Xenopus tropicalis: one gene and its partners. The main gene of each other region encodes a partner of the protein of the gene in region 6 in a complex. Links are inferred from orthologs where the notes say so. Each region holds a gene or a part of one and is shown on either strand. Other genes may lie near its edges.

Evidence for each region.
Region 1: lin54 (region 6) and mybl2 share a complex: the UniProt entries of both Homo sapiens proteins name them as parts of the DREAM complex. The link is inferred for Xenopus tropicalis from reciprocal best matches to the Homo sapiens genes LIN54 and MYBL2.
Region 2: lin54 (region 6) and tfdp2 share a complex: the UniProt entries of both Homo sapiens proteins name them as parts of the DREAM complex. The link is inferred for Xenopus tropicalis from reciprocal best matches to the Homo sapiens genes LIN54 and TFDP2.
Region 3: lin54 (region 6) and e2f4 share a complex: the UniProt entries of both Homo sapiens proteins name them as parts of the DREAM complex. The link is inferred for Xenopus tropicalis from reciprocal best matches to the Homo sapiens genes LIN54 and E2F4.
Region 4: lin54 (region 6) and lin52 share a complex: the UniProt entries of both Homo sapiens proteins name them as parts of the DREAM complex. The link is inferred for Xenopus tropicalis from reciprocal best matches to the Homo sapiens genes LIN54 and LIN52.
Region 5: lin54 (region 6) and rbl2 share a complex: the UniProt entries of both Homo sapiens proteins name them as parts of the DREAM complex. The link is inferred for Xenopus tropicalis from reciprocal best matches to the Homo sapiens genes LIN54 and RBL2.
Region 7: lin54 (region 6) and rbl1 share a complex: the UniProt entries of both Homo sapiens proteins name them as parts of the DREAM complex. The link is inferred for Xenopus tropicalis from reciprocal best matches to the Homo sapiens genes LIN54 and RBL1.

Annotation. Positions count from the first base shown.
Region 1 is NC_030686.2:39,924,556-39,928,491, forward strand, and holds the start of mybl2 (myb-related protein B), read left to right. Parts: upstream 1-1,136; 5' UTR 1,137-1,277; coding exon 1,278-1,297; intron 1,298-3,472; coding exon 3,473-3,566; intron 3,567-3,856; coding exon 3,857-3,928; intron 3,929-3,936. UniProt on the Homo sapiens protein: Transcription factor involved in the regulation of cell survival, proliferation, and differentiation. Transactivates the expression of the CLU gene.
Region 2 is NC_030681.2:129,561,309-129,565,517, forward strand, and holds the start of tfdp2 (transcription factor Dp-2), read right to left. Parts: upstream 2,801-4,209; 5' UTR 2,592-2,800; intron 1-2,591. UniProt on the Homo sapiens protein: Can stimulate E2F-dependent transcription.
Region 3 is NC_030680.2:76,512,126-76,514,963, reverse strand, and holds the end of e2f4 (transcription factor E2F4), read left to right. Parts: intron 1-1,564; coding exon 1,565-1,677; 3' UTR 1,678-2,338; downstream 2,339-2,838. UniProt on the Homo sapiens protein: Transcription activator that binds DNA cooperatively with DP proteins through the E2 recognition site, 5'-TTTC[CG]CGC-3' found in the promoter region of a number of genes whose products are involved in cell cycle regulation or in DNA replication.
Region 4 is NC_030684.2:81,969,147-81,973,402, reverse strand, and holds the start of lin52 (protein lin-52 homolog), read right to left. Parts: upstream 2,801-4,256; 5' UTR 2,786-2,800; coding exon 2,767-2,785; intron 1-2,766. Other genes in the region: aldh6a1 (methylmalonate-semialdehyde dehydrogenase [acylating], mitochondrial), read left to right, coding at 3,279-3,305.
Region 5 is NC_030680.2:49,460,512-49,464,581, reverse strand, and holds the start of rbl2 (retinoblastoma-like protein 2), read left to right. Parts: upstream 1-1,270; 5' UTR 1,271-1,495; coding exon 1,496-1,654; intron 1,655-4,070. UniProt on the Homo sapiens protein: Key regulator of entry into cell division. Directly involved in heterochromatin formation by maintaining overall chromatin structure and, in particular, that of constitutive heterochromatin by stabilizing histone methylation.
Region 6 is NC_030677.2:85,303,912-85,307,411, reverse strand, and holds part of lin54 (protein lin-54 homolog), read right to left. Parts: intron 3,025-3,500; coding exon 2,951-3,024; intron 2,735-2,950; coding exon 2,537-2,734; intron 66-2,536; coding exon 1-65. UniProt on the Homo sapiens protein: Component of the DREAM complex, a multiprotein complex that can both act as a transcription activator or repressor depending on the context. In G0 phase, the complex binds to more than 800 promoters and is required for repression of E2F target genes.
Region 7 is NC_030686.2:42,375,740-42,378,087, forward strand, and holds the end of rbl1 (retinoblastoma-like protein 1), read left to right. Parts: intron 1-196; coding exon 197-361; intron 362-491; coding exon 492-659; 3' UTR 660-1,848; downstream 1,849-2,348. UniProt on the Homo sapiens protein: Key regulator of entry into cell division. Directly involved in heterochromatin formation by maintaining overall chromatin structure and, in particular, that of constitutive heterochromatin by stabilizing histone methylation.

The DNA of each region.
Region 1 (3,936 bases), on a different chromosome or scaffold from region 6:
GACACACCACCAACTTGATTCCCTTTGTGCAGCCACTTACCTTCCCTGATAGATTTCCTCTAAATGATTTATTCTGGCTTCCAGGCAAGTAGCCTTTTATATAGTGTTTTAGGAGGTTAAGTAGCCAATCAATCTCGCCTTGTGACCCCACCCATTATCCAATTATCCCATTCCTCACTTGTAGTTGTTAGGCCAGACCAGCTCATAGGGATGCTGGATACTGAGGAATGTGAGAGCCATGTTTCAAGGGAATGTTAACTGTTACATTAAATTTGTATTTGTTATAGAGACATCCCTGCTGTACCCCCATAACGTCTTCCTAACCTAACACCTCTCCATTTATCTTCACTGTCTACTTTATAACCTTCCTCCATCTCAGTTATGGTTTCCCCCAGTCTTCTCTCTCATATAGAAGTTCCATTTTGCTCCCCCTGTTCCCAGTTGCAGAGGGTGGAAGGGAAAGTGATATAATTTCTGCCTTTACTGAGGGTTCTTTCCACTACTGGGCAGTCACTCCTAAGCCATGCTGCTCAGACTGGGTTCAGGAGAGGTTATATTTGAGCACATACCCCACCCCCCCTCAGCAATACCACTTGTAGCCAGCCAATGGCAGTCCTGTAGAAGTACCTAATAAACATTTCAGGTTTTTTTTGTTTTATTTATATTTCCATTCTATTTTTTTTCCAGCCTGCAATTGCTTAGTTGTCAAGGTTACCTAGGTAACTGAAAAACAGACTGACTGTGAAGGTTCCATTTCATTATTATTATTATACTTCTATGTTTGTTGCTAGGGAACTCCCATTCTAGTAACCAGGCAGCAGTTCAAATTTAATGTTCAAAAACCTATACACTCATAGCAAATCTGAGGTGGTGATGTCAGCGTAAACCCCACTTAAAATGCATGGCTTAACGCTACCGTCGCCAAAACTAAGAGGAAATGACTGTCTAGTCTGGAAATTTTTAGAATCCTCTGTCACTCGGGTTGTTACAAAACGTAATAGGCGCCAGAAGCTGTCCCTCATTTCTAGCTTTGATTGGTCGCCGGGAAATCGCTGACATCAGTGCGCTTGCTGTTCATTGGTTAAAACCGGACGCATGGCCCTCCCCACATATAGAAGTGACAGGCACCTAGAGCGCCTCCGTATGGGCTGTAGGCCCCGCCCAGGGAGTGGGTTCCGCCCCGGAAAGGGAGTTCTGTGGGTGCGTGCGCAGCTGGCGGGAGATAGGAAATAACAATACCGCCACAGACTGCGCACTGAAGTGTCCGGAGCGGCAGGATGTCCCGGCGGGCCCGCGGGTGAGCCTGGCACTAACGGGTGGGGCAGTGGGGCTGCACATACGGGCACAGCTACTACTTTAGAACCCGGCGGCCTTTTCTTACTACTTTTGAGTAGGTGCCAGTCACTGGGCGTCTGCTTTGCGCTTTCAGTTCTGCGCCTCCTCCCTGCCCTGTGTTATCGCCCTTACCCTGGCCTTGCCTCTGCCCTGGCCTTGCCTCTGCCCTGGCCTTGCCTCTGCCCTGGCCTTGCCTCTGCCCTGGCACCTGCCCTGGCCTTGCCCCTGCCCTGGCCTCTGCCCTGGCCTTGCCTCTGCCCTGGCCTTGCCTCTGCCCTGGCCTTGCCTCTGCCCTGGCCTTGCCTCTGCCCTGGCCTTGCCTCTGCCCTGGCCTTGCCGGGCTCTCACCTATTGGCCTTCTCTGGATTTACTAACTTCCCCCATTCTGGACTTTCCTGTCTAGTTGGGCTTCTCTGTCGGTTCCACATGCCTAAACTATAGCTAAACTATTCTACTGCTTCTCTCTCCACAGCTGGGCTCTTTGCTCTCTCCCCAGTCTCCCCTTCCCTCTACCCCCCAGCTCTCTCCCCAGTCTGCCCTTCCCTCTACCCCCCAGCTCTCTCCCCAGTCTCCCCTTCCCTCTACCCCCTCAGCTCTCTCCCCAGTCTGCCCTTCCCTCTACCCCCCAGCTCTCTCCCCAGTCTGCCCTTCCCTCTACCCCCCAGCTCTCTCCCCAGTCTGCCCTTCCCTCTACCCCCCAGCTCTCTCCCCAGTCTGCCCTTCCCTCTACCCCCCAGCTCTCTCCCCGGTCTCCCCTTCCCTGTACCCCCTCAGCTCTTTCCCCGGTCTCCCCTTCCCTGTACCCCCTCAGCTCTTTCCCCGGTCTCCCCTTCCCTCTACCCCCTCAGCTCTCTCCCCAGTCTGCCCTTCCCTCTACCCCCCAGCTCTCTCCCCAGTCTGCCCTTCCCTGTACTCCCCCAGCTGCCCATCACTGTCACCCCTCACCTCTCTCCCCAGCTGCCCATCACTGTTGCCCCCTCAGCTCTCTCCCCAGCTAGTATTGCCAACCCTTGTTTTTGTCTATTATCTTTCTAGCCTTCTCTTTACTTCCCTTGTTCTGTCTCCCCATAAGGACTTTCCATGTCCACCCCGAGTGGGCTTCCGTGCATTGCCCCATTGTCCGCTCTCCCCCACCCCCATTTGCACTTTCCTATGAAGCTTCCACTGTCCTCCCTCTGAGAGTTTTCCTTTGGCTTTCCATACACTTCAGGGCATGCATATCTGCCCTACTACCCCATATTTCTCTCCCTGTGCTTCCCACATTTCCCAGTACTTCTCAGACCTTCAGTAATGCTATGTTTGTGCACAGCTGGCCCCCAACGACCCCTTTTGTTTTGGCTTTTGTCTTATTGCGCCAGGAGGTTAACTTGTGACTCTCCAGCTGGGTTTGTCCCTGCTCTCTCAGTGCTCCATTCCAGCTGAGCGCCACGTTCTGCAGCCTCCCTGTGCTTGTTTGCCTGTCTCTGCTCCTCATTTATAACCCTTCTTAAAGAGAAAGAAGTTTTTGTCGGCCATATTTCCTTAGATTCTTAGTAATTTCTTTCTTGTATATCTAGGAACACTACACTTTTTGTGTAAAGGTGCCTCAGGATGTCATGCTGATTACAACTCCCTCCCCCACCTTCACACTTCTCCCCTTTGCAACCCACCTACATTGACTGCATTTACAGAAATATAATGCACTTATCAGACGCTTAAGTAAAACCCAAGGATGACTTCCCTAGTGCACAGTTTTCTCTTTTTTTTTTTTTTTTTTTTTTGTTCATGTTTCTGCCTGTAACCTTGTGTTCTGTCCCAGCTATGTGCCACATGTAGGATCCTTTGCTTTCCCAAGCTGAATTCCACCCCACCCCCCTTTCTAGTTGACCCAGCCCCTATGTGATATCTCCAAAAGCAAGCTGGAGAGGGGTTGCTGGAAAGTTCGACCTTCGCATTTGGAGTAGTGGCCACCCTCATGGCACCCTGGTTTTTTTTTTTTTTTTTTTTAATCCTTGTTTTGCTAGATTAACAGACACCCTATTCCCTGGGTGCTTTGAGTAATGCTGCCTCTTTCCATATGCTGAACCTGTGCTTATTTCTGGGACACTGTTGCATGTTGACTAAATACTAATAATAATTTTTTCTTTAACCCATACAGAGATGATCTTGAGGATTTGCAATATCAGGACACAGACTCTGATGTCCCGGAGCCAAAGGAAAGCAGGGTCAAAGTGAAGTGGACCCCAGAAGAGGTACAGTATGCAATTAGATGTATTGCTAGAGCAATACAATCCAGAGTCCTTATCTCTTGCCTAGGGCTGGATGAGAACCCTTCTGTCCCTCCAGTGCTGGTCTTTGGACTTCTTACTGTGACTGACATCTCTGTCATCCTCTGGGGGTCTTATATGTTGGTGATACTATTTACATAAAATAGTACAGGGATGTCACTCCCCAGTATTAGGTCATGCGTAAAAATTGCTCCCGTCCGTGTTTCCCCCAGTAAGGTATTAATTATTGTTTCCATTTTGTTCTGTTTCATTAGGATGAGACGCTAAAAGCCTTGGTGAAGAAGCATGGACAGAGTGAATGGAAGGTGATTGCCAGTAACCTTACTGTAAGTTC
Region 2 (4,209 bases), on a different chromosome or scaffold from region 6:
AGAAAGCTTGGGAACATTTTAGTTACAACTCCTGTAGCTTAAACCTTAAGAACTTTACAGTTAAAATACATTGCTCTTATATGAAAAAGAATCCATAGCATATAGTACTGGAGTATCTACACTGGTAGATCTGGCAGGTAAGCAAAGAACTAGCTCCTAGTTCTAACTAAAAGAGTGTACGTTTTAAAGGGTAACTTTGTGGACAGATTGGCCCCTGGCCCACCAAAACTCAGACATTTAGCTGGGGCTGAACTGCCAGAATCCCCCTACCACAAAGAATTACACACAATCCCACATGCAAAGCCAAGGGATACTGCTGTACAGAACAGATATGAAAAAAAGAACAGAAAGCAAAGAAAGGGGCCAAGACAGAAACGTTGCCCCCTTTCACCATGCAATATATTATCAGCATTGCTTGGGGCCTAACAAAGCATAAACATTCTTAAATACTGCCAAAGAGTACAAAATATTAAGATTCCCATAGCGTATTAGACATCCTTACTTCCAACTCGTGTATAAATAAACCAAATCTGATTCAATAAGGGCCTCCTAATTGGTGTAAATAATACAGGGAATTAGGAAATGCTTGGAGCCAATAATGTAGGAGCAACTCTAGAAATGTTCTCACGCCACAAGCCATCAAACAAACATAGGACAAGCTGAAATATAAAGTCAAGATTGCCAGTATTTCCAAAATACAATGAACACTTCAAGTATAAAGGATACTGACTCCGAAATAGGAAATATCCTAAATGTGACTCAGTACGACCTTTAAAGGTAAGGCTTGAGGGACCTTTCACTCTGCCCCCTTCCCAACATAATATATTGTGGAACAAACCTAAAGCAAAAGCATTTCCAATCTGCAGCCTTCTAGCTGTTATTAACAGCAATTCCTGGCATCCTACCAATGTAGCTGGTGTTGTGGGGGTTTTAGTGCAACAATAGGAGGGCCACAGCTTAGATATGCCTAATGTACATTTGTGCCATATGCATCTTTCTACAGTGACCCCTACACAATACTGTGCATCATCCATTTCCCACGTGGGTCATGCAGCCCAATCAGTCCTGTGCTTAGCCTTAATTGTTACTACCATAACCAAACTTCCTACTGCAGCATTGTACTCTGTGCTGCACTTTCCTCTCCCAGGCTGCACATGTAGGCCAGGCCTTACCCAATCAGCACTGGGAGCAGCCAGCATGTGTCACTGATATGAGTGGGACTGATCAGGCAGCCCAGAGGAATGTCTCCTCCCTGCAGCAGCAGCAGCAGCAGCAGACAATGCTCTCGCCTTCATTAGCATACAGCTGACACTTAGGGCTTTTCATAGTGACTGTCCCACTGAGCAGCATGTGGCCCCAGGAGGCTGTCTGACCCAGGAAGCTGGCTCTATAGAACAAATGGGAGCCCTAACCCCCCCCCCCCCCCCCCCCCCCCCCCACACACACACACACACACACACTTTTACTACCAGTTAAAACTAAATGGCTTCTCTGACCATGGTAAAAGTTTCACACCAAAATGGTGTGACACAAAATGGAGGACTATGATAAATCAAGGTTCCTTAAAAAGCTAAAAAATAACCAGAATCCCCTTCTGTTTGTATACATTGTGCATTAAAGGTCCCAGAGAACAGCAGTGCACATTCTCCCTCACTCACACCCACCCTTATCCTGCTGCACAGGAAAGTACAATTAGCAAGAGAGCAGGGATGCTTGAGTTTCCAGAACAGACACAAGGCTCCACTTGTTCACTCCAACTGCACATGTGCACTACTACACACTATATACACTACTACGCACTAATAATCAGAACTCAGCATTCTAACCACAGGCCCATCACAATAACAAACTCCATCAGAAAAGCAAAGATTACCCATGAAAATTGTTGCATGCTCCATTGATCAGAAATTCCCAATATGCTGATGTGTGACTACAAAACCCTGCATCCCCTAATATCCTCTGACTTCCATGGAATGCAGGGGCTTTAGTTTCCCCAACAGCTGGTGGGCCCCATATTGCATATACCTGCACTGTATAACTACAATAACTTGCAGCAGCACAAAATTCAAGGATTTTCCCCCAAACATTGTGCTCAGTGTCTATGCATAGGAACTTCAAGTGGGGCATATATTGTACATATAAATAGGAGCAAGTTATTTTTTAATATTTCTATTATTGCTAAACCCACCATGGAATCAAACAGTGACTAAGCATGGCAAACACACACATATATATATATAGGTATAATTCATATATAAATACAATATAGCCTGATGCACTTGGAAGGGTTACTTAGTTGTAAGAGTTAAAACAATGGTGTATATGAAAATCTGTCATCCTGCTACATCTCCCCACAGCTCCAAGCAGTCCTGAGTACAAGCCCAGAAATCAGAGTGCAAAAGCAAGTAAATATGAGGAATATTATCCAATAAGTCAGCAGGGACTACCCTCCCCCCCAGGCAGAGCATGCTGCAGGAAATTAGTGCATTGTGTGGGACCATGAGAGCCTGGGGATCAGCATATATCCCAGTCTTAGGGGGGATCAGGTAAGTGGGAGGATAGAAGGGGTGACCCTTATGCAAGGGACCTACCTCAACACAGGACACGACTGGCTCACTATTCCCAGCTCACTACTAGAGCCACTCTTTGTTACCATTGCCTGAAAACTTGAAAATGAGGCAGGCATGAGCAACCGAGCGTCGAGCGCATCCACCGCGCACATCCGCGATCAGACCTAGCCAGGCACAATCAAAACAATTGGCATGTTATCTCCTGGGCAGGCTGAAGGTTGCTAGGAATTCTCAGGCATCGGCTGCTTCACTTACGTCATGGACTTTTAAACGGCAGAAGTCCCGGCGCAGTTTATTAGCCACAATCTTTAGAAGGTTACCCCGGCATGCTGGGAATTGTAGTTTAGGGAAACTGGCGAGGCTGATAGACAATGTTTACGGTTAGTGTGATTTGATAGGCTGTGCCTTTCAGCAGGAGGAAAATAAATCTCTGGGTTTTCTGCTGTCCTAGTGGGATAAATTGAGCATTAATGATTGTGATTATCCAGGCAATGTACTGGGCAAGGAGGGATGCTGGCTTATTTCAGATAATTTCAGAAGCAAACTTTAGAAGGAAAAATAAAGATGACTTTCTGTTTCATTAATAAGCAGCACTGTATGGCCATATAGCTTTATGTATGGGCAGATCATTACTTCCTTGCTTATTGGAAGCACCATGTTTATTGATTTTGAACAGACACACACCATACTAAGGACAGAAGATCACACAGTAAGATCATATGTGACTCATTGGACCGCAGACACCTAAATGGTGCTTTGATTGCCCCAAAAATCTCTATGCTTTGTGTGAAATCACCTACTAGAATGTAAAGAATGGAGGGAGACCATTAAATATCCAAAAGGGTAATGCTTGGGCCTTGATAGAGGCAGATCAACTATGGTAGGCCTATGTACAAATGAACTGCTGGCCTATCAACCTACCCACCTGTTGCTGAATAACTAAGGGTACACAAAATAATGTGCATAAAGTAACATGTATATAATTGGTTACTTTGCCTTCAGTTCATGACAGATGTAATGTAATAGTCTTGAAATGTATTTTTCACCAACGTTTTTTTCAGAATTGCTTAAAACCCCAAGGGGTGATTCAGGGTTGTGCCTTTCAGGTGGGGATTAGCTCTACATGACCTATAAAAGATTAAGAGTGTCAATGAGCAGATTAACATTCTCTTGTCATGCCTGAGGCAGAGGATATTGCCATGGTTTATTTCAATGTTTCTCTATGGGACCAGTCTGCCTTGTGCAAATTTTATCAGGCTTGAGTGGACACCTTGCCTCTTCTACATGATAATGACACATTTAAAATTAAAGTTGCAGAGAAATAGGCTAATTAATCACTCCTCACTGAAAAATATTTAGGAGAACTGTAGGTTAAGGTTTCCCACAAGATATTAATGCCAATGGGACTTGATCTCTGGTTAGTAGCCATGCTTACATTATGATACAATCAGGGGAATACTTTTTTACATTACAGCTCCTGACCTCACTTTAAAAATCAAAAAATCAACCTTTATACAAGGAGGTTAAAGAGTTAAAATGTAATTGTGTTTCCCAGGCACAAAGATTTTTTGAATGGCAGGAAAAGGGTTAAGCTAGTCATACCCCTCCCTTGTTGGTTTATCTGCTTGCCAGCAGAAGG
Region 3 (2,838 bases), on a different chromosome or scaffold from region 6:
AGGCATAGTTTCTTTTATGTTTTCCTAAAAGATTTTTTTGTTAAAATCCCATTAAAAGAAGCAAAAAAAAAAAAAGCATTGTGCCATGATTTATCTAAAGGCATGGCTTTTAAGCATAAACCAGTGTGCCGTTTGTATGTGTCCATATAAGTATTAGCTTGCAGTAAGTACATTTTCACAGAATAATGTAAGGATCTAATGTCTGCTATGGTGTGCCCTTACTCTCAAGTATCTGTGCTCTGTGGTGCTAAGGCTACTGCCATATACAGCAGTTTCTCAGCATGCATATAAGCACAGGCACAGAAACAGTCCCTCCGCTCTCTGCAGACACACTGCAGTTTGTTTATCAACTCTGGGCACTGAAACCTATAGCAGTCAGTTATTGGCTTTTTTTTAGCCAGCTGCAGGTAGAACAATGAATGCAGCAGTTTGATTGGTTGCCATAGGTTACTGCCCACAAGCAAATTTGCCCAGTGGTGAAATGACCCCCAGCGTATTTTAGTGCAGAAACGCATCACTATGCATTTACTGCCTAATCAGCTTCTTGTGTTTGCACCCAGGCCAAAAGTATTGTCTGCAGCTGCAAACACACTATAGAGCAGATTGGAGCCAAGAGGCTGTAAATGCAGGCCGGACAGCTAAATAATGGATGACCACTGCAGAGCTGATAGCAAACATGCTGCAATAAAACTTGAACTTTTGCTTAAAGTAAAGATTTATTATACATATTATATAAATAAGCAGTTCTTCTAGTCAAATAATTAACGTTTTTGGTGTAATTGGCTCTTTAAATTGCATATTCTAAGAGCCGTGGCAGATGGGGAGATTAGTCGCGGGCAACTAATCTCCCAGATATGCCATCTCCACTGACTTGAATGTAAATCACCAGTGGGATGGCATACGTGACGCCGCGGGCGACTAATCTCCCTGTCTGCCATGGCACTTAGGGGCAGGTTTATCAAAATGTGAGATTAAAGTTTACCACTGAAAAAATTACTGTGATTTTTAAAAGTGTGTTTATCAGTGAATGAATAGAAAGTGAATGAGTTTTTTCTGTGGTAAACTCACATTTTGATAAACTTGCCCCTTAGGGGCAGATTTATCAAATCACGAGTTCGAATCCCAAATGGGAAAAATTCGGATTGGAAACGAAAATTTCTGAAGATCGCAAATATCACGAAAATGCTTACGAAAAAATTGTATTAGTCACGATAATTTCGTATTGGTCACAAAATGTGCGTACCGTACAATTTTAAACAGCGGTAAAACCTTTCCAGTTTTTTCGTGCAAGCGTATGGGGAAAAGTCGTGCGGCGTACGACAAAATCGTGCGGACGCCCAAAAAATTCAGCGAAAAAACGCTCTGAGCGTTCATGCCTTTGTTAATGTGCCCCTTAGTGTTGGTATGTAGAATGATGTTGGTTGTATAGGTATAGATTTGTATTAAGATACAGTCTCTCTATATAAATCATATCAGAAGCACTTATGACTGATACCACTGCTGGCCCTGTATGTGGGCACCTGCTTATGCTTGAAAATACTCATGATTTTTTTTTTTTTTTCAGTTTTTGCTCCTCTGCTCAGACTTTCTCCTCCTCCTGGTGATCACGACTATGTCTATAATTTAGATGAAAGTGAAGGAGTTTGTGACCTCTTTGATGTACCCATCAACCTCTGATATTTTGAACTCGGCTTTGGGCCTTATTTGTGAATAAGAACTTTTTTGTTGTCTTTTATGAAGAAATGTTTCTATTTTTGGATATCCGCGTGAGTTGTTACGGAAACCATACCAGAGACATTGCAGTGCAAAAAGACACTTAACTCCTCTCACTGTGAGAATCCGCTCATAACTTTTCCATCCCTGTGATGAGAGGACTGCTTGGCAAACCCTTCATAGAGGTTGTCTGTATTGATCCAGCTTTATTAAGTCCATTACTACATCTGACAGAAGCTTTTCACAAATTTCAAGCACTTAACATTTTTGCTGAAGTACATAATATTTGGATTTTTGGCTGAGTGTGCCTCAGTATTTGGGCTTAGAAGTTCTTAAGTCTGTCCAATAATATAGTAGGTGTGCAGTACCATCCTCCATAAACAAATGGTTTTCCATGCAGTAACCGTAAAAAATAAGCTTGGTTGTCTTTTATTATGCTCTGACCTCACTCACTGCCAAATCGCTGCCAGTCACTGTCTAGCTAATTTACCTAAATGAAAGAAGATGTTGATATGAAATTATTTTTCTACATACATTTGCTGCGCCACATGAACTATTTGTAATTTTTGTTTTCTACAAAATAAACCCGTATTTGCCAGTAGCACTTTAGGGATGTAAAAACAAACACCCAGAGCAGCTGTGTGACTTTGTTGGGGTGAAAGTGGTGAGATTCAATACAAAAGCTGTGCAGTCCATTTTAGTCCAAATGATACACAATGATTGCTGGCACTGGAGTTGTATGGAATTGAATTATATTATAAACTTGTGCTTTAGAAAGAATATTATAGTGTAAAGAGTTACCTATTTATAGTCACTTCTATGACCGAATATACGTTAAGATTGGCATTTTCCTTTGCACATAGCTTTCATATATTTGTAATATGTTAGGTGACATGGTACCATGGAGATATGTTGTTTCTCCCAGACAGAGATCTCCTTGTTTTTAATACCAGTGCTGCTCCACCTGGATCTCAGTCCAACGTTTAAGTAGAATATTAGGACTTAGTCTATGTTGATTTAAATTGATTTTATTTAATATACTGCAAATATATAATATATATAATGTAATTCCAGTGTCAGTAATCAAGGTAAGGAATATACTTTCTGCAAAAGGAGTTCCTTGGC
Region 4 (4,256 bases), on a different chromosome or scaffold from region 6:
ACCAGTGCAGGGCCACAGTATGTTATATTTCAATTACTTTAAAACACTTTCATTTTTTGGTGTTACTGTTCCTTTAAATGCCAAAACTATTTTTGAATAGTCAACTAAGTGAAATCTTGTGACTTTGTGACCTTAGCTACTTACTTCCCACTGGTTTTAAAGGGGCAGTGTCACCTCTAGCTCAAAATCAGATCAATAAATAGTATGGTGTTTGTTTATACAAAGCTTATTGGCCCTATTTAAACTCAGTTGATAGCGGTTAAAATAGGTAGATAAAGTAAAAACTAAATAATAATACATAAGTATACTATATTATACATACATTCTATTTATCTTGCTTGTGTTGAAAAAAGTGTAAAGTTCATTTTTTTGTTTTAATCATTGTATTAGTATTCAAGAAAACATACAGGTGAACGTGGAATCTCATTCAAAATAGAGAGATCATAAAAGGTAAGCATTGAAAAGTAAACAATTACAATCTTACATAAAACTAATTGTAATAATATTTAATATATTAAAGTTACTAGAGTTCAAGAAAAAATTTGTGCCAAGTATTATTTTCATGGCTAGGATTACGTATAGTAGGAATCCATTTTAATGATAAAGGATGTCATGTATCTTATCTCTTTCCTTATTTTCCAAGCTTTGCAAATATTTTCCATTTTGATGTAAATTTTAAATGGTGTTTTCAAGCTATCGAATCTGAAATGAATAGTTTCATTTTTACAAAGATTTAGTTCTGCTTAAATGTCAGTGAATGAGGGAGGGGAGGACTCAATCCACTATTTAAATATAACTCTTTTAGCTGCAACCAAAGTCAATTTGATGTAATTCAGAATGTGGAGAATTCCAGTCTTTAGACTTGCCTGTGATTAAGTGCATCTTTAAACAGAGCTCTTTTCCATTTAAAAGTTGGATCTAGGCTACAAACCATCCAGTGTGATATGTAAAAGCATGTACTAACAGCTAAGTAAATAAAGTGTTTGGGTCATATGAACAAATCCATTAGTACAAATGAAAATCTCTATGAATTTCACTCATTAAAGGATGATAAAAGCTAAAATCATTGGCAGGCTCCAATTTGTTAGTCATCCCCCCATGATTATATTTACAGAGCAGAGACCCAAAGCTTGCATTTTTTCTGCAGAGTGTGCCATAACCATTTTTCCCTGCTCTTTCCAAAGCTCCTCTATTGCCCTGGGTAAGCAGAGTCCAGTAATTGTTCAGTGAGTTTTGTACTGTGCACAATGTGAACAACTTCTCTTGTTGATGATTACAATCATGGGGGGTGGCTGACAACTTGGCAACCCCAGTGAATTTTGCTAGCATTGTGTTTTAAGAAGGTATCATGCTTGCAAACCATGCTTACTACTTGCAGAGTATAATTTGAGAAAAAAAATACGTAAAAGCCACACAACAGGTTAAAACTGGTATAATTCCCCTTGTAAACTATAGCTGTGAATGCGTTCAAAGGGAAAAAAACAAGTTAAATTGAGCGTTATCCATTAACTATTGCAAGTAAACTCTCACTCATACCCCACAAAGATCTCAGCACATAGATTTGAGGTAACAAAAACAGTATAGACCTTTGCTCAAACGAAGTAAAATAAAGAGGACATATACTCTTGCTATTCTTTTAAAAGATAAAAAAAATCTTATTTTGGTAGGGTTCTGTTATAAAGTACCTCACTCTTCCTAAACCTGTATGCAGGAGAGTTTATTTCTGCAAGGTTTTACTTCTTCTGCTCTTACTGTATCTTTTTTTCTGTTACCATTTTCAAGTCACTCCCACCTGTAGGTATAGACTGGCTATCTGTGGATCCAGGGGAATGCCAGATGGGCTGCTGTTAGATGCCAGACATTTATTAGCCAGGTGGGGGCTGTTTGGGCATTACACCAAAAGGACATTACACCAAAAGGATCTAGGCTATTCATACAAAACAAGCTAGATTTTAACTTTTCTTGTTGGCAAGGTGTATTCACAAGAATACATTTTCACACACTAGAGTAACCAAGTAGCATTGTGGTAAAGTGGTCGGAATTCTTGCCCTTCTGTGTTAGGGTTCTGGGTTCAACTCACAAAGCTTTTACACAAATTTTTTACATGTATGTTGATAGGAAGAGTTTGGGTTTACGTAGTATACTTTGGGTCATTAGGATTAGGCTAGACTGTATAATACTTTTTTCATGAGCGTGAATATCTCGTATATAATTTTGGGACATTAGGTTTGTGATTATGATAATGTTTAGCTAAAATAAAGCACTCTTTTCTTTAATTGCCTTTAGTAGCTTGATCACTGAGCTATATCCACACTAGGATCTAACAGCTTTACGCATGTGCACTATGCTACATTCGTCTATGAGTAGTAGTATTTAGGTTAATGTCTGTACATTGGCAACATCCCAAATTGTGCAAGTACACCTTCCTACAAACTAGACGAAGCCGAAGGCTTGTACACTTTCCACCTGATGTCAATAGGAAGCCTTATTACATGTGAAAAGTAAAAGAAGGATCAGTTCATTGTCTGCGGCTAATTATTGACATGGCTAGGGATCACCAGAGCAGCACAGAACATCGCAATGCATTCACTGTTATTTTCAAGGTTTAATGATAAACTCCCAGTACTTTCTCGACAGAGTAACCATGCGCAGCGGGAACACACATCGGCTTTACCCTGCTGCTAGAAGCAATTATCGGATACATATATGTAGAATACTTTCCTCTAAGCCCATTAGTGTACCTACAAATTAAAAACAACCGCTTACCATCCGTAACTGCCGCCATTTTCTCACTTGTCACGTGACAGAAATAGACTTAAACATTCCATCTTGGTACACCCAATTTGACGCTCTATACTTAAGCGCCATATTGCTGCACCCACCCATAGCTTACACAAACGTCTATTTTTTAAAGACTAAAGTTAACTTGTACAATAATGTTTTAACCATTAAGGCATGGTGCGATGCACTGCCTTTTTGCTACATCACTTTCCAGACACCAAGAAGGCGTCATGTTCCTACACATTTTGTCGATCGTAAAAATGGCAAATAGCGGTGAAGATCCAAGAGTCATCACGTGACAAATATGAGCCAATCAAGGCACACATAGTAGGGCACCAGTCGGTCAAACCTTGAGTTAGCGCACAATCGGTCACTATTTCTGGCAGGCCAATAGGAAACACTTTTTAAGGGGCCGTGGCATCATCAGCCAATGGCGGGGTAGAGGTGTGGCTTCTTGTCATTCAGTCTCTGAGAAGCTCAGGGATTCTGAAGGAAGCATGATGCGGATCAGAGGAATAGTGAGGGTGAGTGTGGGCTAGTACATTGACATGAGTGAGTGGGGGAGAGAATATCCCCAGGTACCCAAAATAAATGGGTGTTCCCAATAGACGAATGAAACTATATTATGAAGGTGCTATTTTACAAGCAGGGCTACGTTGATATGCGCGGATAAAGGAGGCTGGGATTAAGAGACTGATGGTCGGTAGTGACTCAGTGTTGGGGGTAGTAAATTGGGCCCCTGCATTAGAATTTTGCACCGGAGAGGATGGGTCACTGCCCTTTCTCTAGAGGCCTTCATAGTTCGTGTATTGGTATGCCCAGCCCAGGCCTTGCCAAAAGTCTTGGAAGGAAACTAAGATTCAAGTAGTGAACCAAATAGTGTGAGGATTGATCTGGTATTCCTATTGATTAATATTAATCTGATATACTCCTTTGTTAAGTTTTGGATAATTTACTTTGCAAAATTTGGTGCTTTGTTGGGCTGCATATCATTGCACATGAACACTCCCATGTATATAAGGCGATATATCAGATATTCCCAGTGGGTGCTTAATAATGTTCAGTGCTATGCAGCTTATGCTGAGATCCTAATAAGAAGGTATACTTCAGAAAAATACCTATATGGACTTGCACACTGATTGCCAGCAGTAGGTTATGTGGGCATTGTTGGCAGCTAATGCCTGCTTTGTGCTATATATTAGCATAGGAATGGATAAACTGTTGATTATCTAGGGCATGTGTGAAACACAAGGCCCGCGGGCCGAATCCAGCCCGCCTGGCTGTTTTATGTGGCCGATGGTGACTGTGTCTGAACATGCAGCACCTATCACCTGACATCACTGCTCCAGTCCCAGTGGTGCTGCACGGTCAGGCATGGTTGACCCTCAACTTGGCCTGTGTTTTAGATTTCGGCCCCTTATGTGATTGAGTTTGACACCCATGATCTAGGGCTACCTTTATGGGTGATGATGCCT
Region 5 (4,070 bases), on a different chromosome or scaffold from region 6:
TAAAATCCCATGACAGGCATGTACATACACTCAGGGCTGCCATCAGAAATCACGGGGCCCCCCTCCTCTCACGCCCTGCCCCCCAATGCTCCCTCCCATTAGTACAAAGGACACACAGACATTGGTAGCCAGGGCCCCCCTAAAACATTGGTAGCCAGGGCCCCCCTGCATCCTCCAGCTCACCCCCACATCATACTCCAGCTCCCCCCCAGAGTCCTTCCCAGCATCCTCCAGCTCCCCCCCCAAGCATCCTCCGGCTACCCCCAGCTCCCATCAGAATCCTCCAGCTCCCCCCCAGCAACTTCCTGTGGCTCCCCGCTGCATGTGCACAGCTCACCCCCATTGTCCTTCTGCTCCACCCCCAGTAACTTCCTCCAACTCGCCCCCAGCGACTTCCTCCAGCTCCCCCCCAGCAACTTCCTCTGGCTCCCCTCAGCTTTCCCCCACCGCAGCGACTTCCTCCAGCTCCCCCCCCCTCAGATAAGTGAAAAGTACTGAGTAGCAGATCTGGATTTATACAAAGGCCAGGGCCTAGGGCAACATGCAGACCAGCTGCTGCTTCTAAATTTGGACTGAAGGACTAGAGAAATGCCCCACGCACTGACTATAGAAGTGGGCATGCACATGACTGCAGAGACGGGGGTCTAGGGTGCACCCTCTTTGTAAATCCGGGCCTGTTGACTAGGGTTGCCACCTGTCCAGTGTTTTACCCGCCTTCCCAGTAATAAATTATGCTTGATGCCAACGTTATTAATAGAGAAAGACGAATATATGAATTCCTGTAATTTTTTTTACTTATTATGATCCCCATAGCATTTAAGATGTGAATGTTGGTAAAACATGTTATGTCCTAAATGCAAACATTGCATTGCATTTCTAAATTATTTTCTTTTTTATGAATCATACAAATTACTGGATATGTTCATAAAGGGCTGGGTCCCCCGTAATTGCCATTGATACTGTGACATTCCTTCAAGTCGATTTGTTCACTCATTTTGGACCCCCTGTGAAGTAAAGATGACACAGCCCATATAGGAAAACGTGAGTGTTAGTTTAGAAAGCGTAAAAGCAGGATGGCCTCCTCCTCCAAAGAAAGTATTTACATATAGGAACAGTGGGGCTTAGTTGAACTAAAACTTTCTTTTCAGGAAGGAACATAACGCACGCGTACTAACAGAATAGGGCGGCGGATGCTGCTATGTTGTTTATGAACAGAGTAAGAGACTAGCAGGAACTAGCAAGTATCTCAATCGGCAGCGATAAGGAAAGGAAAAGGCCGACCTCTGTGTTGTTTTGGGCGGGGCTACGCTACGCATTTTCCCCATCTATATTAGAAGAACAGTGTCCTACGCTAGTAGGCCTTTCTAATTGGTGACGAGAATATCAAAGCGTTGCTGTCAGTCATTGCCATTTAAATGGCTGCGCAGTGTGAGATGTGGAAGTGCACCGTTCGGGTGGCGGAGGGGACATAGCCGGGCAACTGGAAGGTCTGAGGATGATCAAGGAGGAAGAAGAAGAAGGGGAAGGCAAGCAGGCAGAAGAACAGCTGCGCTGCCGCTATGACGAACTCTGCAGCAGCCTTAATATGGATGAGAGGGCCCGGGGGGAGGCCTGGGAGTATTACAGTAGGATTAGCCAGAATTATACTCTAGAGGTGAGAAATTCTATTTTTTCATGGGCTTGATGAATGCCTGACCTGCGGCCCTCCTACTGCTGTTGGTGCTACTCTGCTCTCCCAGTCTCCGCTACAGGGCATGCTGGGTATGGTAGTACAGTAACAACTGGACTGGAAAAAAAACAAACAGCGTCGCTGCAAGCTTTGGCTTATTAGCAAATAACTGTAGTAGTGCGCTGTGGAGGTTTTTGCATCCCAGAAAATATTTTCATTGCTTTTTTTTAGTTTATTTCACATTATTTAGCATTTCACCTGGATGCCTATGCTGCATGTGTTACAGCTCCTTATCAGATACGGGAAGGGATGAAATGGACGTGGAGTGCAGTAGTCTGTCATAGCTATGACTTTATTCTGATCGCTAATAAGTACAAAACGGTAACAAAAAAGTGCCTTGCGGGGCAGGAGACAAGAAGGAACTGATTGCATGAGCTTACAATCTAAAGTAGGGATCCCCAACCTTTTTTACCTGTGTGCCACATTCAAATGGAAAAAGTGTTGGGGAGCAACACAAGCATGACGAAAGGTTCCTGGGGGTGCAAATAAGAGCTATGGTTGGCTACTTAATAGCCCCCTCTGTGGACTGGCAGCCTATAGGAGACTCTGTTTGGCATTATACTGGGTTTTTATGCAACCAAAACTTGCCTCCAAACCAGAAATACAAAAATGAGCACCTGCTTTGAGGCCACTGGGAGCAACATTCAAGGGGTTGGGTAGCAACATGTTGCGCACGAGCCACTGGTTGGGGATCACAGATCTAAAGGTTCAGGGAGGGACTGACACATGAGGCTGTTGGAGGATGTGTACAATAATTAACATCTTTCTGATTTTTTTTTTTGTGGAAGATAATTAAAAATGATTAACACGGTATTTACAGTAGTTGCACAACTCTGAATTTCTGTGTTTTATAAGCTGAGAAATCTGCCTAGTTATTTTCACATCCTTTTGACAAGCTATATGGAGTGCTTACTTACTGTATTCTCATCTAACTGAGCGTAGTGCAGATCATTATACCAGCTAACTTAAACTTGGAGTTATGCTACCTGTATATATATATATTAACATGCTGTATATTAGCAGCTTTGACTTGATGGCTGCTGTTTGTTTTGGTTGTGATGAGGAGCAGCTTAATGCAGTCTCCTTGGAGATATGTGGACCTTAGCAATTCAGCTGTTTAATTACTAGGGCTCTTGCAGACTGTGTTATTTATATTCTAACACTGTATCCAAGTAACTAAAGCAGAGAAGTGCTGTATATTCTTCCTTTTTTAAAAGAAATATGATACCTTGAAAATATTTTGTGTTAATCTGAACTAGGTATAGTTCAGATATAGTATAGTACTATTTTATGCAGATCTATAGTTCCCTCTTAATTCTTATGAGTTTGTTTTGTACATATCCCTCCTTTTGTGCGCCATCACCAATAAACCTACAAATTCAAATGTGGGATGGAATACTTTTTCACTAGTAAGTAACTGTAAATTAAACTTACCTGCAGCGCATCAGGGAAGGGAGACCGGAGGATTTGTGGCGCACCCTGCGGGGATCGGGTTGGGGCCGCAGGGGCTCACCAGGTTTGTTCCTGGTGCCCCGGCCGCCCAGTTCAACCCTAGATAAATCAATGGGTAGATTTTCATTAAGTCTAGGGAAGGCTAACCCTTTCCAAACCTGTCTGGCACCTAAATTAAAAAGTGGAAAGCTCTTTGCATTCCTGCAAGGTCCGATACCATTGTTACCAGCTGCACTCTGATTGGATTTTTTTGCTTGCAGCTTCTCCAATCAGAGGGCAGCTCTTTTTACAGACAGTACACTCTCTATCAATCAAATGGAAGGTGGGGATGGAGAGATTTCAGGAACTGAAGGTACTTGGAAGCATGGGTAGGCAGAAGAGGCACCTGCCTATGGCGCAACGGTGTGGCCGCGCCAGGCAGGTGGTATTTCTTTCACCAACCACTAGTTCCGGGCCCTTTCCCCCCCCTACTGTAGTACCCCCCCGCCAGTGGCCCCGGCAACCCCGCCACCCTGTGTGTGCACGCGCGCCCACGTGGGGGATAAGGCGGGCCAAGCCAACCAGGTTGCCCAGGGGACTCAGCACTGCTTGGAAATAAGGATTTACAAGAAACATATGTAAGGTTTTACGCTTTTCCTGCCAAGCATGTATGTGATACATGTTGCAGAAAAAGCCTTTGACTGCCAAGCATATATCACATACGTTCAAGGGCCCAAACCTCTAGGTAACGAGCCAAGTCAGTCTTGTGACGCGATTGTTGGAGGGCCCGACTTCTACCACCAGAAACGGTCGCACTCGTGTCTGCTGTTAGAGCTTCTTCCTACTACCTCCCTGAGTCCGCCCTGCAATCTAGGGACCCTCATCGTTTGAAAGGACCCTCCTCACTAAA
Region 6 (3,500 bases):
TGAGCAGCTGTTGTTCCTGATAACCCTGCATTGCTTGCTATAGAAACATACGAGGACTGCTGCAACTGAAAAAGCACAATTTGAAGGAATAAAGAAAATGATCTGCAACAATAGAGCCAAAACCAAAAACCTTAATTTTAGAAATGTAGAACCACATACAATTTACTGTCTCATGCCCCATCAATCCAATGTGCATCTAGGTTAGTGTTTCTTAAAGTGTTATTTCACATTAGAATTTACATTTAGTATTATGTAGAACGTGGTATTCCAAGACCACATTCTTTATATTTGTAGTTTTTGAAGTGTTACTTTTTCTAAGGAATTTAACTGTAGTTTATTTGTGTAACTTACCTAATAAAAAAAAACAAATACAAGAGTATTGTAGAAATGATACCTATGTTGGCTAACAATAGGTATCATTTCTACAATACTCTTGTATGTGTTTTTTTTTTTTTTTTTGTGTAACTTGCCTAGAAACTTACATTACTTATTTAAGTGTTTGTGTACATGGGGGAAGACAAAACTTTTAAGGGGCCCAAATTTCTGATGGTGGCCCTTCATTCAATCAGCATTTTGCCCTCCTGCAACTCTGGATATTAGCTTCCCCTTTTCCAGCCCATGTACAACTTGATTGATTTGTACCAGTTCACAGGAGCAAACTAGAAGCCAGAGCTTTAGAATGGTAGGAGATGACAACATCCAAGAAGAACAGACAGTGCAAAGAGTGTTATACAACAGGAATTATATAATTAGAATTGATGGTAAATACATTTTCCCTTTAAAATAGGATAGAGTGCCATGGATTTGTTTGCAATTGGAAAAGAAAACAGTACAATTCATATAGCACTGGAAGCTAACTACAGTGTCCCAAATTCCTTTTCCTAAAGCCTATTTCCTGTATGGCAGCAAAAAGGCAAAATAAGTTTGCGACCAGACAAAAGGGCAAAATCTCTTAAGACTAGTTCTAGTGCAGAACATAATTTATGCCTACGTTTTTAATGGTTTCAGTTATTTGTTGTTACAATAAAAGTGGTAAAAATTTCCACTAAAAGCCCTCACTATTCTTTATAATGAACTGCTCCTTACCTCAAAACTAACAAAAGAAGTAGGTTAGAGTATGTTTATACAGAGCAGACTATATTAATTTCAAATACAGGTATGGGACCGGTTATCCAAAATGCTCAGGACCTGGGGTTTCTCAGATAAGGAGTCTTTTCGTAATAAGGATCTATACTTTGTCTACAAAAAATAAATAAACCCAACAGGATTGTTTAGCCTTCATATATCTTAGTTAGGGTCAAGGACTAGGTACTATCTTATTATTACAGAGAAAGTCATTTTCAAAAATGTCATTTGATTAAAATAGTGTCTATTGGACATGGCTTTTTGGGGGAAAAGGGGATTCCGGCTAATGGATTTCATACCTGTACTACTATTTTTTAAATTAAAAATACAAACAATGTCACTTGGTCCTCATTTTATTTTGGTGTTTATTAATCATCTACCTTCCGTCTAGTCTTCAAATTGGGGTAAAAAAAAACAAAAAAAAAAAAACCTACTGCTCTCTGAGGCTACTACTCAGTATCATTCCTGGAACATTAGCAAAGTATGTATAGATTATTTATCAGCTGACTACTCAGCAATTCCAAAGAGAACATATGTATCAACTAATGTATCAAATAACAATTTACAGTAAGTTTTCCCCTCCCAGAGCTACTCTAGGGTGACACAGGAAGGTAAAAAAAAAAATGAAACTAAGAAAAGGTAAAAAAAAATAAATTTATATATAGCACTTGAAAAAACTTTTCTGGTGTACTATCTAAAAACAATAGTAAAAAAAAGTGTTTGGAAGGTGAATAAAGTGATAGGGTGATAGGTGTAAGTAAATCACATACATTGTAACCCCCAAAATCAAGTATTTGTCTGACTACTGCATTTAAAACCATACTGGAACAACCTCACAGTACTGGGTTTGAAATGTGTTCCAGTATTGTCTTTGAAGAGCATGACAATAAATTTGGCTAAATGGTTGCCATTTAGGGTGTCAGTGTCCCCATGTGATAATTAAGGGAAAGGTTTATCATTGATCAACTTTTTACAATCAACTATAAAGGAAGAACCCAATAAAAGGACTGCAGCAGTCTAAAAGTTTGGTTCCTTATGGGCCTAAGTCTAAGGGGAAGATTCACCAAGACACGAACGCTCCGAGCGTATTCTTGCCGATTTTTTTGCTCGAAAAATTTTGGAAAGGCTCTGCCGCTGTTTACAATAGTCGTTACGAAAATTTTGTGACTTTCGGATCGCCAATACGATATTATCGTGAGTAATACGATTTTTTCGTAAGCATTTTCGGGATATTTGCAATCTTCAGAAATTTTCGTTTCCAATCCGAATTTTTCCATTCATGATTCGAATTCGTGTTTTGATAAATCTGCCCCTAAGTCACCATATAAATTGAACAATACATTACAGGATAATTGATTATAAAACTCAATTGACAGACAGTGTCTTAATTCCGTAACATTAATTTACTCACCTGAGTGACATACTGAGCAGGTAGGACAGCATAACCTACATTTCCAGTCCCTGGTGCAGAGGCTAACACAGTGCCTGCTGGAAGGTTCGTAAGGCTGGGCTGTATTTGTGCAAGTGGCGTAGCTGGCATAAGAAGCCGCTGCTGTGGCTGGCTTGTTGTGACAATCTGGGAAGCTGCATTTAATGGCTTGGGAACAACCTAAAAAGGTAATGAACTTGAATGCACATAACCATAAATAAACATACATACATTAATGTTAAACATGTGTCTAGGTTAAAGCAAAAACTCTTTAATAGTAAAAAGTTTTTTATGGGGGAAAAAAAGCTGAAATCAAAGATTATTCAAGCACAAAATAATAAAACAAACAATTTTCTGAATACTCACCATCTATCTGAATATGAAGTTTAGACTTACTTGTTTGACAGTCTGTGCTGGAATAATGGGAACAGACATCCTCACAGGCGTTGCATTAACAACCACTGGTTTAGCTTTAGTTATGAGAGAGAGAGAGAAATATAAATGAATGAAGCACTGCAAATAATAACCTATTTGTCAGCTACTGGATAAAATCTAAATTAAATAGTTGGCATAAAGGGGGAGTTAAGTTAGTTTTCTAGGTTCACACTATACAGTGGCTCCTATACCATTGTGTTTATTAAGCAAAAAATGGTTATTCCTTACTGTATACTGAGCACTGGTCAGATGCAGAAGGAAAGCTGGTGAAGTTTCTTAAAATTGTCCTTTATCATGCCCCCCAAGCAGGTTTATTGTGTAGAAAGCACTGATATGTAAATACACAGCTCTCTTACTGGTGACATAAAATAAAAAAAACACTTTAGGGTGACTTTGTGAATATTAGCACAAGAGCTCTGATAAATGTTAGCGTTAGAAAGAGCTGTACTGTGAAAAGCTTGACAAAGATTTAATAAAATTACACTAATACTGGATATTTAAAAAACTGCAG
Region 7 (2,348 bases), on a different chromosome or scaffold from region 6:
ACCTAGAAAAAAAGCAATAATAAAATTGTCTTGAGCTGTTTGGTTGCCAGGGTCAGTGACCTTGGCAACCAGCCATCCATCATCATAATGAAGTTACCTAAACTGATCTATCTTTAACATATTAAGTTATTGTGAAGGTGTCCTTTTCCTTTTTATAGCATGGGCCATACATTTGATGTGATTTTTTTCTTTTTAGATGGATGCTCCGCCTCTTTCGCCATTTCCCAGCATCAAGCAACAAGCTATTTCTCCCCGCCGAGTATCCCAGCAGCATTCTATCTATGTGTCTCCCCATAAGAACAGCGGCAGCCTGACTCCCCACACAGCCCTCCTGTACAAGTTTAATGGAAGTCCTTCAAAAGTAAGTTGTGCCCTTGCTGGGGACGTTTATATCCCGATTATAGTTATACAGTAGAATAAAGGGGAGCTTGATTGGTGGCATTGGTTGACATTAAAGGGACTCTGTACTTATTATATTCTGTTTATTGAAGAGCTTGCAGGACATAAACAGCATGCTGAAACAGGAGCAGAGGAGCCGGAAGCGGATCATTGCTATTGACAGCGACACGGAGTCCCCGGCAAAGCGGCTCTGCCAGGAAAATGATGATGCTCTGCTGAAACGCCTGCAGGATGTCGTGAGTGAGAGGGCCAACCATTAGCTGCAGTCTGGCCATTGGCATTCTGTGGTTCCGGCCCATTAAAAAGCTACATTTTAGGCAAGTCTCGGGTCAGTACCCTTCCAACTGGGCCCCCGAGTTCCATTAGGTGTTGGAGACTCTTCTTGCACGTATGATATTGTACACTGTTTGCTAGCTACTGTCTGCAATCTCAATCACTGCAGTTGGCCAAAAGCCTTAGCCACGTGGTCAGTCGTGATGGGACAACTGCCCTGCCGTTTCCATGGTTTTATCTATTTTTTTCTTAACATGATATTTTTAACCTATTGTGATAAAGGAAAGTCTATCGTTCCTCAGTTTTGCCTTTATATGAAACATATATGGCTTACTGAGTTCATCAGGGTTGAATGTTGTGAGCTGTAATAATACTGCCGGTGGAGGCGCCCCCTAGTGGACTGAATTCTATTTCATTACCTGCAGTAGCATTTTACTGATACAAAGCAAAGCTTCATGAGTACATTTTTTAACTATAGACTTTTAATTTTATGAACACTAGCTTTCAGCAGCGCAGCATACAGTTTTTATTGTTCCTTTTTAAGTGTTCTTTTTGCTCCAAAAGCATTAATGGAGATTCTTTTTATTGTAATGTATGAACTTACAGATTGAGTTCAATCAAGATCTGGCAACAAAATCTTGGATTTTCCAGCGTTGCGCTGTGTTTATACAGTCATTTTACGGACTCCAGGGAAAAGGAGTAGAAATATTTGGCAGTGCATTTTCTGTGCTGGGTTTTTCCTGCTCTATCTGCGTGCAGCCATTTTATCTTTTTATTCCTAGCGTAAAATGAAACCCTTTGATGTGAATCTTTGCTGTGCTTTTTTGAGCTGAATGAAATTGTGTAGCATCTACACCTTTTTATGGTTTGCTGGCACCTTTTTAAATCTCTGTACATAACGTTTTATTGTACATTACAATGTCACTTCCATTCAGATGAATCTTCTTGAAGCATCCTATTCACAATTCTGACTTTTACATTATATATGGTACACCAAATAAGAGAGGAGGAATGAAATCTATGCAGCCCCAGATCCTTGCAACAGACCAATGAAGCATCTGCCTGAAATGGAGCTGCAGGTGTACCACAATAGTGTAGGCTGAAGGTTATAGTATATAAATGTATATGTAATATGCCTATGTGTAAATATGTAAAATAAAAAGGTCCCTACTATTACTGGGTACTTGTACTGACTTCTTTTGGTGGGGCTGAAAGCCTAAACAGTTGGAATAACAAAGTGTGGAGGAGCTGTAACTACAATTCCTCATCTGCCTATTTGCCATACTCTGTTGCCCAGCTGATGAACCAATCAGTATCCATAATGGGGTGCAGGGGTCATGGACAGCCAATGTTAAACAGCCTGGGGACCCATTTTATGATCCCAACCTAAAGTTTAAGAATCCCTGGCCTGAGGGTGCACTCTCTATGGTGATTAGCAGCATCCAGCAAAATGAGAATTTCTACCGCAGTTTACAATGACTGCACACAAGGCTGCAGATGCGGACCCACCTTCCATCATTTTCTGAACAGCCCGCACCCGCAAACACAACTCCCGATCCTTCTAATGCTGGCCTGCTAGCTGCAATTAACGGGATCCACACTTTGGTCACCACGCAACTCAAAATGATCAAGGCAGACCTCTCCCTGCTGTGCCAGAACTTCCAAAACCTGCAGAG